3 linked regions of the Oreochromis niloticus genome follow. The protein of the gene in region 3 interacts with the protein of the main gene of each other region in a biochemical or structural test. Links are inferred from orthologs where the notes say so. Each region holds a gene or a part of one and is shown on either strand. Other genes may lie near its edges. The genes, in order: ago1, ago2 and tnrc6ba.

The links.
Region 1: the proteins of tnrc6ba (region 3) and ago1 form a complex in vitro, tested with the Homo sapiens proteins (2 studies listed by BioGRID and IntAct). The link is inferred for Oreochromis niloticus from reciprocal best matches to the Homo sapiens genes TNRC6B and AGO1.
Region 2: the proteins of tnrc6ba (region 3) and ago2 form a complex in vitro, tested with the Homo sapiens proteins (3 studies listed by BioGRID and IntAct, with this or other methods). The link is inferred for Oreochromis niloticus from reciprocal best matches to the Homo sapiens genes TNRC6B and AGO2.

Annotation. Positions count from the first base shown.
Region 1 is NC_031976.2:28,011,713-28,015,467, reverse strand, and holds the start of ago1 (protein argonaute-1), read right to left. Parts: upstream 2,582-3,755; 5' UTR 2,092-2,581; coding exon 2,067-2,091; intron 1-2,066.
Region 2 is NC_031985.2:24,714,534-24,718,288, forward strand, and holds the start of ago2 (protein argonaute-2), read left to right. Parts: upstream 1-892; 5' UTR 893-1,803; coding exon 1,804-1,822; intron 1,823-2,999; coding exon 3,000-3,047; intron 3,048-3,755.
Region 3 is NC_031973.2:22,681,966-22,685,720, reverse strand, and holds the start of tnrc6ba (trinucleotide repeat-containing gene 6B protein), read right to left. Parts: upstream 3,030-3,755; 5' UTR 2,892-3,029; intron 2,351-2,891; exon of another isoform or gene 2,283-2,350; intron 1,262-2,282; 5' UTR 1,172-1,261; intron 545-1,171; 5' UTR 523-544; intron 163-522; 5' UTR 1-162. Other genes in the region: uncharacterized protein si:ch211-141o9.10, read left to right, coding at 3,357-3,504, 3,584-3,755.

The sequences.
Region 1 (3,755 bases), on a different chromosome or scaffold from region 3:
TTTTTGGGACACAAACCATGCCAGCAGCACAACTGTACCACGTAATATCCTCAGTGTAGGGGGTCAAGTATTCAGGTTTTCCCTTTAATCTGTCACCCGTCCATGTGTGTGTGTGTGTGTGTGTGTGTGTGTGTGTGTGTGTGTGTGTGTGTGTGTGTGTGTGTTCATATGAATATCAAAGTGTAGAATCACAAGTCCCTAAAACACATCTGAGAAGCACTGTAAACACAGACACCAGACATGTGGTGCCCGTACGTACTTTATGTGCAAGAAAGCATGTACGTGTGTGAATGCATGAGTGTCTATACCGTGTTTTGATTGTTGCGCATGCACACACAATGACACACACTTCGCCCTCGTGCCAGTGAAGGCAGATGGTGAGAAGCGGAGCCAGCCCTCTCACATATCCCAACACAATAGCAGTCTTTCCCGGGCGGTAAGACTTAAAGCGGAGCTTTGGCGCTGCATCACAACATGAAGACACTCGCTACTTAAATCCTTTACAATGACGTAATAAGCAATAAGATCAAGTCACATGGGAACGACTATTTTAAAGTCGTACCTGGGATAACACGTCTGTTGTTGTTGTGTGTTTTGTTTTGGCTTCCTTTGCAGGACAACAAATAAAACAAATAAAAGACCTCAATGTGCACTTTTTAAACAACTCCACATTAAATTTGCTGGTAATGGAAAAGATGTGTAGTTGGTGATGCTATACAAATACACACAAAAAAAGTTAAAAACTAGAGAACGATTAGCCTCCAAAAATATAAGCTACTGGCTTATAAGCTAAATTATAAGCCAAGTACACAAATTGCAAGGAAGATCCATTTAGGCATCACTTGTGTTGGCCAAATCAGTTGTGTGTCTCCAAGTATTTGGCTGTTGACCGTGAGCCAAATGTGGCAACCAGAAAAATCTTTCAAAATAGAAAACTGAATCATCACACTTGAAACACAAAAGGAGACGTTGAAATAAGGGGCCTCTGAAGCCCCCCCCCATCCTAAGAAATTAAAACAGGCCTATTCAACTAATTTCAAGGTTCAGGATCTGGAATGATGACGTGATTTTACCATCAGGCCTGCTTTGCATAAACACAAGCCTGAAGATATCCAAAGAGGATTCAGGGATTGTTAACGGAGTTCATGTCAAAACATTTTGCATCAATTAAAAATACAAGTCTTTATAAAAGCCATGCATTAGACATATTTAAGACATTCGTGGTTGCATTATTAATGCCGGGCACTCAAGAAGTTCCACCGTAAACAGACTTTAGACCTGGGCATAAAGTCAAGTCCAGTGAGTGCTTTAATTGCAGGTCTCCACACCTCCGTGTCAAACAAGAAAACTGCCAAATGAAGCCCATCTCTGATCTGACTGGCACTGATAAGTCTGCAGATACAGAATCAAACCGCAACACATAAATATAATGCTCTACATGCTTCCCTCAGTTCTAAATGTAGATTATGTCATCTCGAACAGGAAGACGAGATAAGCCTTTTTTTCCTCCTTCTTATTTCACATAGATAAATAATTCAGTTATTGCTGCAGATGGTAGGCCCGAGGTTGTCTTTAATGTGTGCATTTAAGGACACTGTGCTAAACTCTCTCTTGACAACCTTAAGCAAACGTAACCTGTCAGTGAACGGGAGGCTGGTCTGTTCTGTGGGGCGTGCGGGTGCAGCCAGCTGCTGCTGCTGCTGCTTGAAGGCGGGCTTCACCTCGTCCCTCCTCACCAAGATTCCCACGACCTCCCTGCCCCCGCGCATGGCTGAGGATATTGTCAGACTCCAAAAAGGCTCATCTGCAGCTATAAATCTGGACAAATAATAACGCTTTCTATGGAGTGCAGTGCATGCAGACAGCAAGATAGCTCCTCTCCATCTCACACCCTCTCTTCTCTAAACGTTCGATGCAACAGAGAGGCTTGACACCAAGCATCCTCGTACATCCCCCCCCGATGTTAAGGCCAGGCTACGGTGTCTAGTTTTATCAGCTGCAGTTTGGCCCGCAGTATACACCCGGATTGGTTGCATTTAAAACCACTTAAGTAAAAATAAACCTACCAGCGCCAGACGGTCCCGGCTCCATCCCATTCACTTAGCCGCGCGGGTACAAGCTAGCTAGTCCGGGGGGTGCTGTGGCCAAACCGCCGGCCCCTTCAGGCTGGAAGCGTCTCAGACTTCCAGCCCCCTCCTCTCGGCGTGCAGTCTTCTCCTTTCTCGGTGTACCCCCGCCCCTGCCCCTACCAGAACCCCCCAGACCCGCAGAGGAGTTAAGGCTAACGGCGATAGCTGCCAGTTGCTCGTCTGCCCGTTGACCCTAGAGCCAGTAACGGCGCAGCTGCAGGGCGATGCCGTCCTATTTCGAACCACTCTTCCTCGGCGGCGCAGCGGGATCCTTCCCGGTGCTCTGATTTAGCTGATGGTCCGCGGCGCTGTAATTTCTTGCCGTTCTGTTGTGCTCCTGCTCACCGTTCAAGCAGGACTCTCCAGCGGAACAAAAAAGGCCAGCCCCTCGCCCCCCTCAAAAAATCTGAAACTTCTTCTTTGCCATTGGAAAGTGTGAAGGAAGTGTTGACGAACTTGCTGTCACACCCCAGAGGTCGAAGGCGGAACTACACTGCAGATATGCAAATACAGCCAAATTATGTCTCACGTGTCTGATACTGTGTGTTCAAAGCTGAGGTTTAAAACTAATGATCACACGTCTTACTTCTCTCTAAAAATACAACCAACATATTCTGAGTACATTTTAAAGGTGCTACATCAGGGGTTTGATCAGTTTAATCTCAAAGGGGGAAGATCAGTACAATTATCTCTAATAACAACCTAGAGCATAATAACCTATGTATCTGCTGGTGTAAAGAAGTTAAAGAACATTATGAAACACATTTATTCTAACATTCTTTTATGAAACAGATGATCGACAGTCAAAGAGTTCTCAATTTCAAAACCTTTCCATCACATGCATCAACCAAAGCAGAAAGCGGACCATTTGGCTTTGTCATGTTCACATTAAAAGCTATTGCAGTTGTGCAGTTTGCAATCTTGAAATATTGCATTTAACCTTAATTGATGTGAACCTACATCCTTGATATGTGACCACCAAGCCTTTCACATGTCTTTTTTCCTCCTCTTTTAGAAATTGCCGCATATCAGTATTGCCAACTATACATTTGTCTTGGTTTATGTTTTCTTTAGTAAAGGGCTTAATGATTAATTTATTGATCTGTAATTACTCATTTTATTGCTGTTACATATTTGCTTTTTGAGTCATTAATAATCATATTTTAATATAAGTCTTTAATCCAATATTTATATCTAAGTCTTTAATGCTTTCATGGCTTGACTTTGTAAAAAAAGAAAAAAAAAGAAGTAAAAGCACAAGAAAGAATACTTTATTTTTTAATAAATTACCATGCAGTGTTTATTCTTTCAGTCCTACATTGATTATTTTGTACAGGAAACTGAAAAAAGAACCAATGTGCACATATCCAATAAACTTTAGGTGCTAGAAATAAAGGAATGAATGAATGAGCTCCAATTGAACTATTGAATTCTTACAATATTTTTGCAATTGGAACATTCTTTAGGGTTGATATATTTATGAGAATATTTAAAGAATTAAATGGGACAGTGGATATTTATTTAATTTATTGCCATTATGTTTTTTCTCATGTCCCACACATAGTTGGTTACGTATGAAAATCACTTAGGGTAGTTGAAATTCAACAGGCTGACATTTGAAATATA
Region 2 (3,755 bases), on a different chromosome or scaffold from region 3:
GGCCATCAACCCACACATTCAGTGGTAAACAGCGCCGACAAGAGGACAAAGCGAGGGGCTGCACGTCGTTCACTTTGGCAAACCCACAACAAAACATAAAATAAATTCACTCAAATTTGACACAACCCAGACGCCCAGGGTTAAAAATATACGCATTAGATTAAATTAACGGGGAATTTGAATCACGTGACACTGGTAACAGCGTAATCTGATAAAACAGCCTGCAACTGTTTCAAAGTTTTGGAATAATACATGGGCGTTTCAGCAGGTGCTGCTTACTGGATGCACACATGCGGAAACATTCTGCATGTTTCATAACTCAAATCTGCAATTCATACAATAAATAATTCTACTTTAAACGGGATCAGCTACGCGAAACCAGGCTCACGGTTAAAGAGACGTGTGCTCAATGTACATTATGGCTATATCTGTGTTCCATCTGGCTTTATCCACCCATTCAAATATTCTGTAAACAACCCAGAAAATCAGCCTCTGTATTCGTATATCTGCTTATAGATCTTGTATCGGTTTAACTTCCACTGAAATATGAACAAATAGCTGGAAAATTTGGAATCTGGATGAGCAAATAATAAATAAACAAATAAAAACATTCAATAGAAACAACCTACCTGTGTGTATCTTCTTCAGCTTTTGTTACTATAGACAATAATTCACTTCTTGAACGTGTACATCTAATTTTATTTCATTCATTCCCCTTAATTAAACTTTAAGTAATTTTTAGCATAAGTAAAATTCAACGTATAATATAAAATCACATGGCTTGATAAATCTTCTGTATGTACTGTCGTTATATTATAATGAACTATAACGTTGGAAGTTTTTGTGGATCCATTACTATGCACTAGCTATAGGTATTATAAAAAAAAACTTTGGTACCCCGGAAATGCTTCCTCCGCCGAAGAAACAAACTACTTGGTATATTACTTTGCTTGTTGACATTTTTAAAAACCCACATTCGTGGCCATATACATATATATGTACGTATTTAAACCAGACCTGTATTTTAGCCAGGTTATAAAAAGTCGGGTTGTTTTTTAAGCCAGGTAAGCGATCTCTGGTGTTTTTTTAAAGATTTGAATTAGCATCACTACTGAGACCGCGCAGCGTGCGTCTGACATCACCGAAAAGCAAGATAGTTCCCCACTTCACATCAATCTAAACGTTAATATTTCCCCTTAAGTCGAAATTACCGTATTTGAAATGTTTGCAACCGTGTAAAATGCTAACTTTGGCTAATAAAATACTAAATCTGATAGGAAACGTGATTTGTCTAAATTGTGTTGTATTATGTGTATGTATGTGTTATATAGTATGTGTTATATTTATTTAAAAAAAGAATCACATTTCGTGGACTGATACGGATACTAGCTTTTTGTCTACATTCATGACTACACTGATGGGATGAATACATATGTCTTGTAAAAAAGAAGGGTAATTAAAAAAAGAAGTCCAAATGTAAATATATACACTACCGAAAGTAAAGTGACCAAAGGCGGAAGGAATGGGAAAGAATCATCTTGAAGCGCGTGGTTCTTTACCCTGCGCTCTCTTTTCTCTCGGCTCCCGTTTTGCGTGTTGGGGGGATGGGGCCGAGCCGAGGATGAGAGACTTCAAATATTTACCACTTGGCTAACTAAATATCTCTTTTTAGAACCGAGTTTCCTTCCTTGCACTTGGACATATAAATACACTTCGACTACGGATGAGTTTTGGTGGAATTCTGCGAAAAACTAAGCGGAGTGTTTGTGCGTCCACGACACACGCTTAAAAAAAGTCGACAAAATGTATTCCTCTGCTGGAGGTAAGTGCTGCGGCTAACGTTAGCATGGGCTACGTGATGCGGCCAAAGAAAACTGACGATAACGAAGCGGCATTTTTCTGTGCTGCATCGATGAAGTGCTTGCTCTGTTCCCGTTTCATCCAACTCGTTACAGTAAAACTCAACAACGGCTTTGACGAGGAACATGTCGTCCCAGTTTTAAGTGTATTAGTACTAGAGGCAAGCTTAGCTAGCGTGCAACAACAAGCTGCCGCTAGCCACGCTAGCTTCAACGGCACCTGGTTTCCCGAACTTGTTTTAGTTAACTCACTGCACTTTCACCAAGTGGGGGTTGGCTGGCATATATTTTCTTAACAAATCACACGAACGTAAACGCATATCATTCATTTTTCTCGAACTGAAGCACTAAACACACTAGTTGAAGCAATATTTCGAGGCCGACCTAATCTCATCACCAGTCTGGGATACGATTAGCCTGACAGTTGAAATCGCCACATTTACATATGTCACATTAATACACCAGCGGTATAAACGCGCTAACGCCACCGGATCGTCTTTTCAGTGTAACACCGGGTTTAAGACACTAAATGATACAGGAGAAGTCTGCTTGATTAAGTTTGACGTTAGGTAGAGATAGTTAAGCGACTGAGCCGCCTGTCGTTAGTCAGACAGACGCTGTGTTTGTGTGTGTGTAGATTTGCATATCGTTGTATTTCATGTGTGCGTTTCTGTTTTTTGTCAGCTGGCTTTTTTAGGCTGAATGAAAGAGAGTACAGGCGACATCAGCACTATGTTGGACAATTTTTTTTCCCCCACTTGCAGTTATTTTAACGAGGATGTGTTGTTCAACCAAAACACGACTCGGTGTGTTGAAGCAGTCTATTTCTAGGGGGAAGGGGTGGCTTCATCAGTTAGATTGCCAGCTGCTCAATACTTTCTGCGTGTCTATTGATAAGACTCCTGTGGAAGTGATAAGAAAGGCCTGCTGGGATGAAGCTAATGTAATAAATGAGCAGCGCTCTCTTACTGCTTACTACATAAACAAATGGTTTTGTTATGTTAAGCAGTAATCTTTGGTCTCTGGGCTGTACTATGTTATTAGGTGTACACATTTATTACTCTTTATTTTGAAATACAGTGTGTATCAGACTGAGCGGATCTTTGAGCATTTATAACATGTTATTTTTGTTCTCTGTAGCTGCTGAGATGCTTGAGGGACCCGGTTCTACTGGGTCAGTAAGCTCTGGTAAGCTTTTCCCATATTCGGGCTTTAACACTTTAAATTGACCCTAGTAGTGGTCCAGTGTAAGTGGCAACATTTTTTTTTCTCACACATCCTTCAAGCATCACAGTATGTACTCATCTGAAAAACAACAGGACCTTCTGATAGTGAAACCATCCAGCAAAAAGCATATAGGTATTTTGATCCTGTGAGAGTCTACAGAAGATGCTTTGCTCTTCAACTAGTCAGCACTAGTACACCTCATTTTGTGCACTTATGTGCAAAGCACTTAACTAAAGGGCACTTATTAAAATCCACCATATATTGCTAGGCTTTATCAAAGGTTTTCTGTTTGAATGAACAGCGCTGGAGCTAAAAGATAATGCACTGAAGGGAATGGAGTGTGTCCTGACTGAAATATCTGAAGCTGCAGATATGGCTGAGCTTGTCCAGCAATAATGAGAGCTGTGTGCATCTCCTACAATAAAGTGCAAAAATGTTAACACTTAAAATCATCTTTCAGGTTATAATATAGTGATTTGGTGTAGATTTGGTACATGTGTTGTTGTTGTTGTTGTTAATGTTAATATAAATAATAATGATAATAATAATAATAATTCAACTATTGTACCAAAATAATTACAAATGTGAGATTTAAATAAGTTTTTCTTGTATATTATTATTGGTGTGGCTACATAGTGTAGTGGTTTACTCATTTGAAAAAAACCCTTT
Region 3 (3,755 bases):
AGGCGCTTGGCATTGTTGCCGCCCTGTGACGGGGTGGCAGCACTGCCAGGGCCTGAGGTGGCTGGGGATGGGGAGGCAGAGGGGGTGGGTCCAGGGCTGGGGAGGCAGAGCTGCTCTGAGTAGCAGAAGACTGGGCAGAAGCTGGCTTGGTCAAGTCTGGCACTGCAAGAAGGGTAGGGAGGGGAGAGAAAGATTTGTTTAAACAGGTGCATTTTAAGAACGCAAAATGTATTTACTTCAAATGTAACCTCTAATCAAGTATTTGGCAGAAATGGATAGCAAACTGGACTATAAAACAAAGAAATCGATGGATGTGCTCTTTTTTAAAAATTAAAAAAAATGCATCAAGTGTTGTCCAACACATTACAAAGAGAAATAATAATGTCACTGTGATACCATCACAATCCTTTTAGACAAGAAAAACATTTAAAACTAAAGTGTCTAAAGATTAGCTCTGGAAAAAGGAGCAAACAACAAATATTTATATCAAACTCCATAAAAATACATCACTGTGCTGCTTACCTTTGTTTTTTTGCTCTGCAACCTAAAATGAAGAGAAGCAGAAAGTCATGTTAAAATTTAGTTTTTTTGTTTTTGGCTTTCTTCCTTTTTCCTTTCTTCCAGGCAAAGAAAGGAAACTGGTGTTTTTTTAATATTATGAAAGTCTTTCACTTTTCACATAATCTGTCAACATTTAGTTGACACAAAATTAATGTAACATCTAGGGACCTAAGGACAAGAGATTTAATTGTAACAAGTTCAACAGCTGCAGTGTTAACTGCAACTATAGCTCCAGGAAGCCCAAATTACCCAAGACCATGAATCAGGTATCTCGTCAAACAAAGTTAGATTGTATATATACTGAAAAAGCTGAAATGGCATAATGTAAGATCATTCCAAACTCAATCCAAACTAAATGCTGTTGTTGAATGTTGTTGAAACCACTGCCTTAATATGACAGTTCAAATGTGTCCACCTGAGATAAGAGAAAGCACTGAAGTCACTTTAATAGAACCATACAGATATCCATGCAGAACTGCCATTTTAAATGATATGAGTGAATGTGCATAAATTTTACTGCCAGCATACTGTGTCAAGATACAAACGTTCATTTTAATTTGAGTATATCTGCCCTAGAGGACATGGAATCTGGTAAGACAAACACACTCACCTTCTGAGAGGCTTCCCTTTTCCTTTTTTCGTCCTTTTTCCTTTTCTTGTCTTCCATGAACTACTGCTCCTGTCCTGATGCTCCTCTCTTCTGTAAAAAAATAGCGGGCTATTCAAAATTGTAATTACCTATCAACTATTTTAGAACAAGCAACAGTTTGTTTCTATATATTCTAGCTTTTTCCTGTAAACCAAATTTATTCCTCAAGGGAAAAAAGGAAAACATTTAATTCTGATTGCATATCAGACACAATCTCTGTCACTACACTTCCACTGGACAACTGGATAAACTGACCTTTAGGTTCTGTAGGTCCAATCAGTTTAGCTTGATTGACTGGACCTACATATCCAGAAACCCATACCAGATAAACTGAAAGTCTGAAATCTAGATTTGTTTTTCAGACAGAGTGCTGGCAGTTACAAATCCAGGATCATACTCTTTACTGGCTTTAAGTAAAAAATAAATAACTAAAAAATAAAATAAAATGAATTAAGAGATTTCAGCTACAGCAAAGAATGCATTGTCATTAGGATTCCCCATAGCACCTCTATGATCCCTAGGATGTCGGGGACAAACTAAACATTTTATTATTAGATTTTTCAGTTTGAAGATGGAACAGCTGAGCTATTCTACAATTTTTTAACGAAACGAACGGTTTATACTGTTTATTTAATAGGGTGATAGAAATGTCATTCATTTCTATTAGAGCGGAACCAGGGAAGCGCCCGCGAATGCGCAAAATGTAAATCATGTATGTATTACAATATGGCAATAACCGCAATATTAGCATGTCTGGCTTCATGTTAGCACATTAAAACACAAGTCGTCAGTTTTCTCCTTTTCTCCTCGTTTAAAGCAAAACCCAAGCAATCTGGTATGCTTCGGCTGCCTCGGTCTTGTGTTGGTTTCGTTTTTGCTTCGTGTCGTTAACACTTCCATAAAGCAGGATTACTACATTTGGGAAAAGCGACCTGACATTGTCCCTGAGGCATTTATGATCTCAGGCCTGAAGTATCAGAAAGCCAGACATCATCACGATGTTATTTCGATGTGTCAGATCTGCAGTATAGTAAACCCTATCCAGCAGCTCTACCAGCTTATGCTGACATACCTGTCAACGTTATTCCAAGCTCACCAGCATTAGGCAGCAAACGCCACAGCACAAAAAGGTCTGAGCTTTGAGCTTAAATGGAAAGGCGTGTTCAAAAACTGAAGACACGGGTGAATAAATCCGCTTTAGCTGAAATAGTCAGACACATTCATCCTTGCCCCTTCAGGTTTACACAAGCTGCAAGTTCAACAGCTGCTGCTAATAAAATATTTCGTCGAGGCTAACGTTAAGGAGGGGTTCAGCCTAAAATACGTGGACACGAAGCATAGCAGGCATTAACGAGTTCAAACCAACCTAAGTTCAGTAACTGCTCTATCAAGTGAACACAGCGGTCTTGCACAGCAAACACATAAGAGGGCCAAATACCCAGCTCAGCTAACGCAGTGCCAAAAATACGGCTAAAACGGCGCTAATGCTACCGAACATTAGCCAGATAAGCTAAGGTAGCATTACCCAGTGACAGCAGCAACTACAAGTAGCCAGGTTAATGGCGCTAGCTTGGTTTGCAAGCGCCGTGGCATGGCATTTCAGTAAGATGCAGCCCGCTCGCATGCATTCAAACAACGACACAGTGCAAAGCCGAGAAATGTAAAAAATTCACCCACTTACCTCGGGAATCACATATGAAGATACGCTAGCGTGCTAGCTAGCTTAGCTAAAGTGCTTCAGTGCGAATTTTTTTCTAGCTTTTTGAGGCATTCGTCGAGGCTACAAGAACAGCGACGCCTGAGCGGAGAATCAAGTAAAATGGCAGAAAATGAAAATATACGCGTAATAACGTACTGGTTCGTGAGCACTACCGTTATAATAGTGTAAACCCTAATGTGCAGAAGAATTTAAATTCAAAGCGCTGTGGAGTCAGTCGGGTGACGGGCGGCCATTTTGCTGCTCAGCATGAAGCGTCTCCAATGACCAGCCTGTAGCAGCTGCGTGGAAGCCCTCTGACTGGCTGGCTTCTGCCTGAAGAGATGCATAAAACACGCTATTTGACCTCCATAAACTTCTGACAGTCAAACTTAACATTCAACTTATTGCTTATTTCGTAAGGGCTGCTTTCAACTTTCTCTTCGTAGCATGAGTCAGAGAAAAAGGGGAACGAGGAAAAGGAAAAACGAGGATGCCTCCGCAGGAGAAAAGGAGGGCGAGGACACTGAGGAAAGAGGAGACAGGAGGAAGAACCGCGCAACAAAGAAGTACATTGGAGCTCATGTTGGCATTCAAGGTAGGGCCTAATGTCGTCTTCTTTGACACCATTTGAGATAAGCACGCTTACTCACACTTCTGTGACGTCACGTCCATAGGTGGGATATGGAAAGCCGTGGAGTCCTGTATGGAGATGGGTGGCAGCAGTTTCGCCCTGTTCCTGGGGTCCCAGCGATCGTGGAAGAGGCCTGCATTGGACCATACAGCTGCAGCAAAGTTTCAGGAGCTGTGTTCCCAACAGGGGTTTGACCCAGCTCATATCTTGCCTCA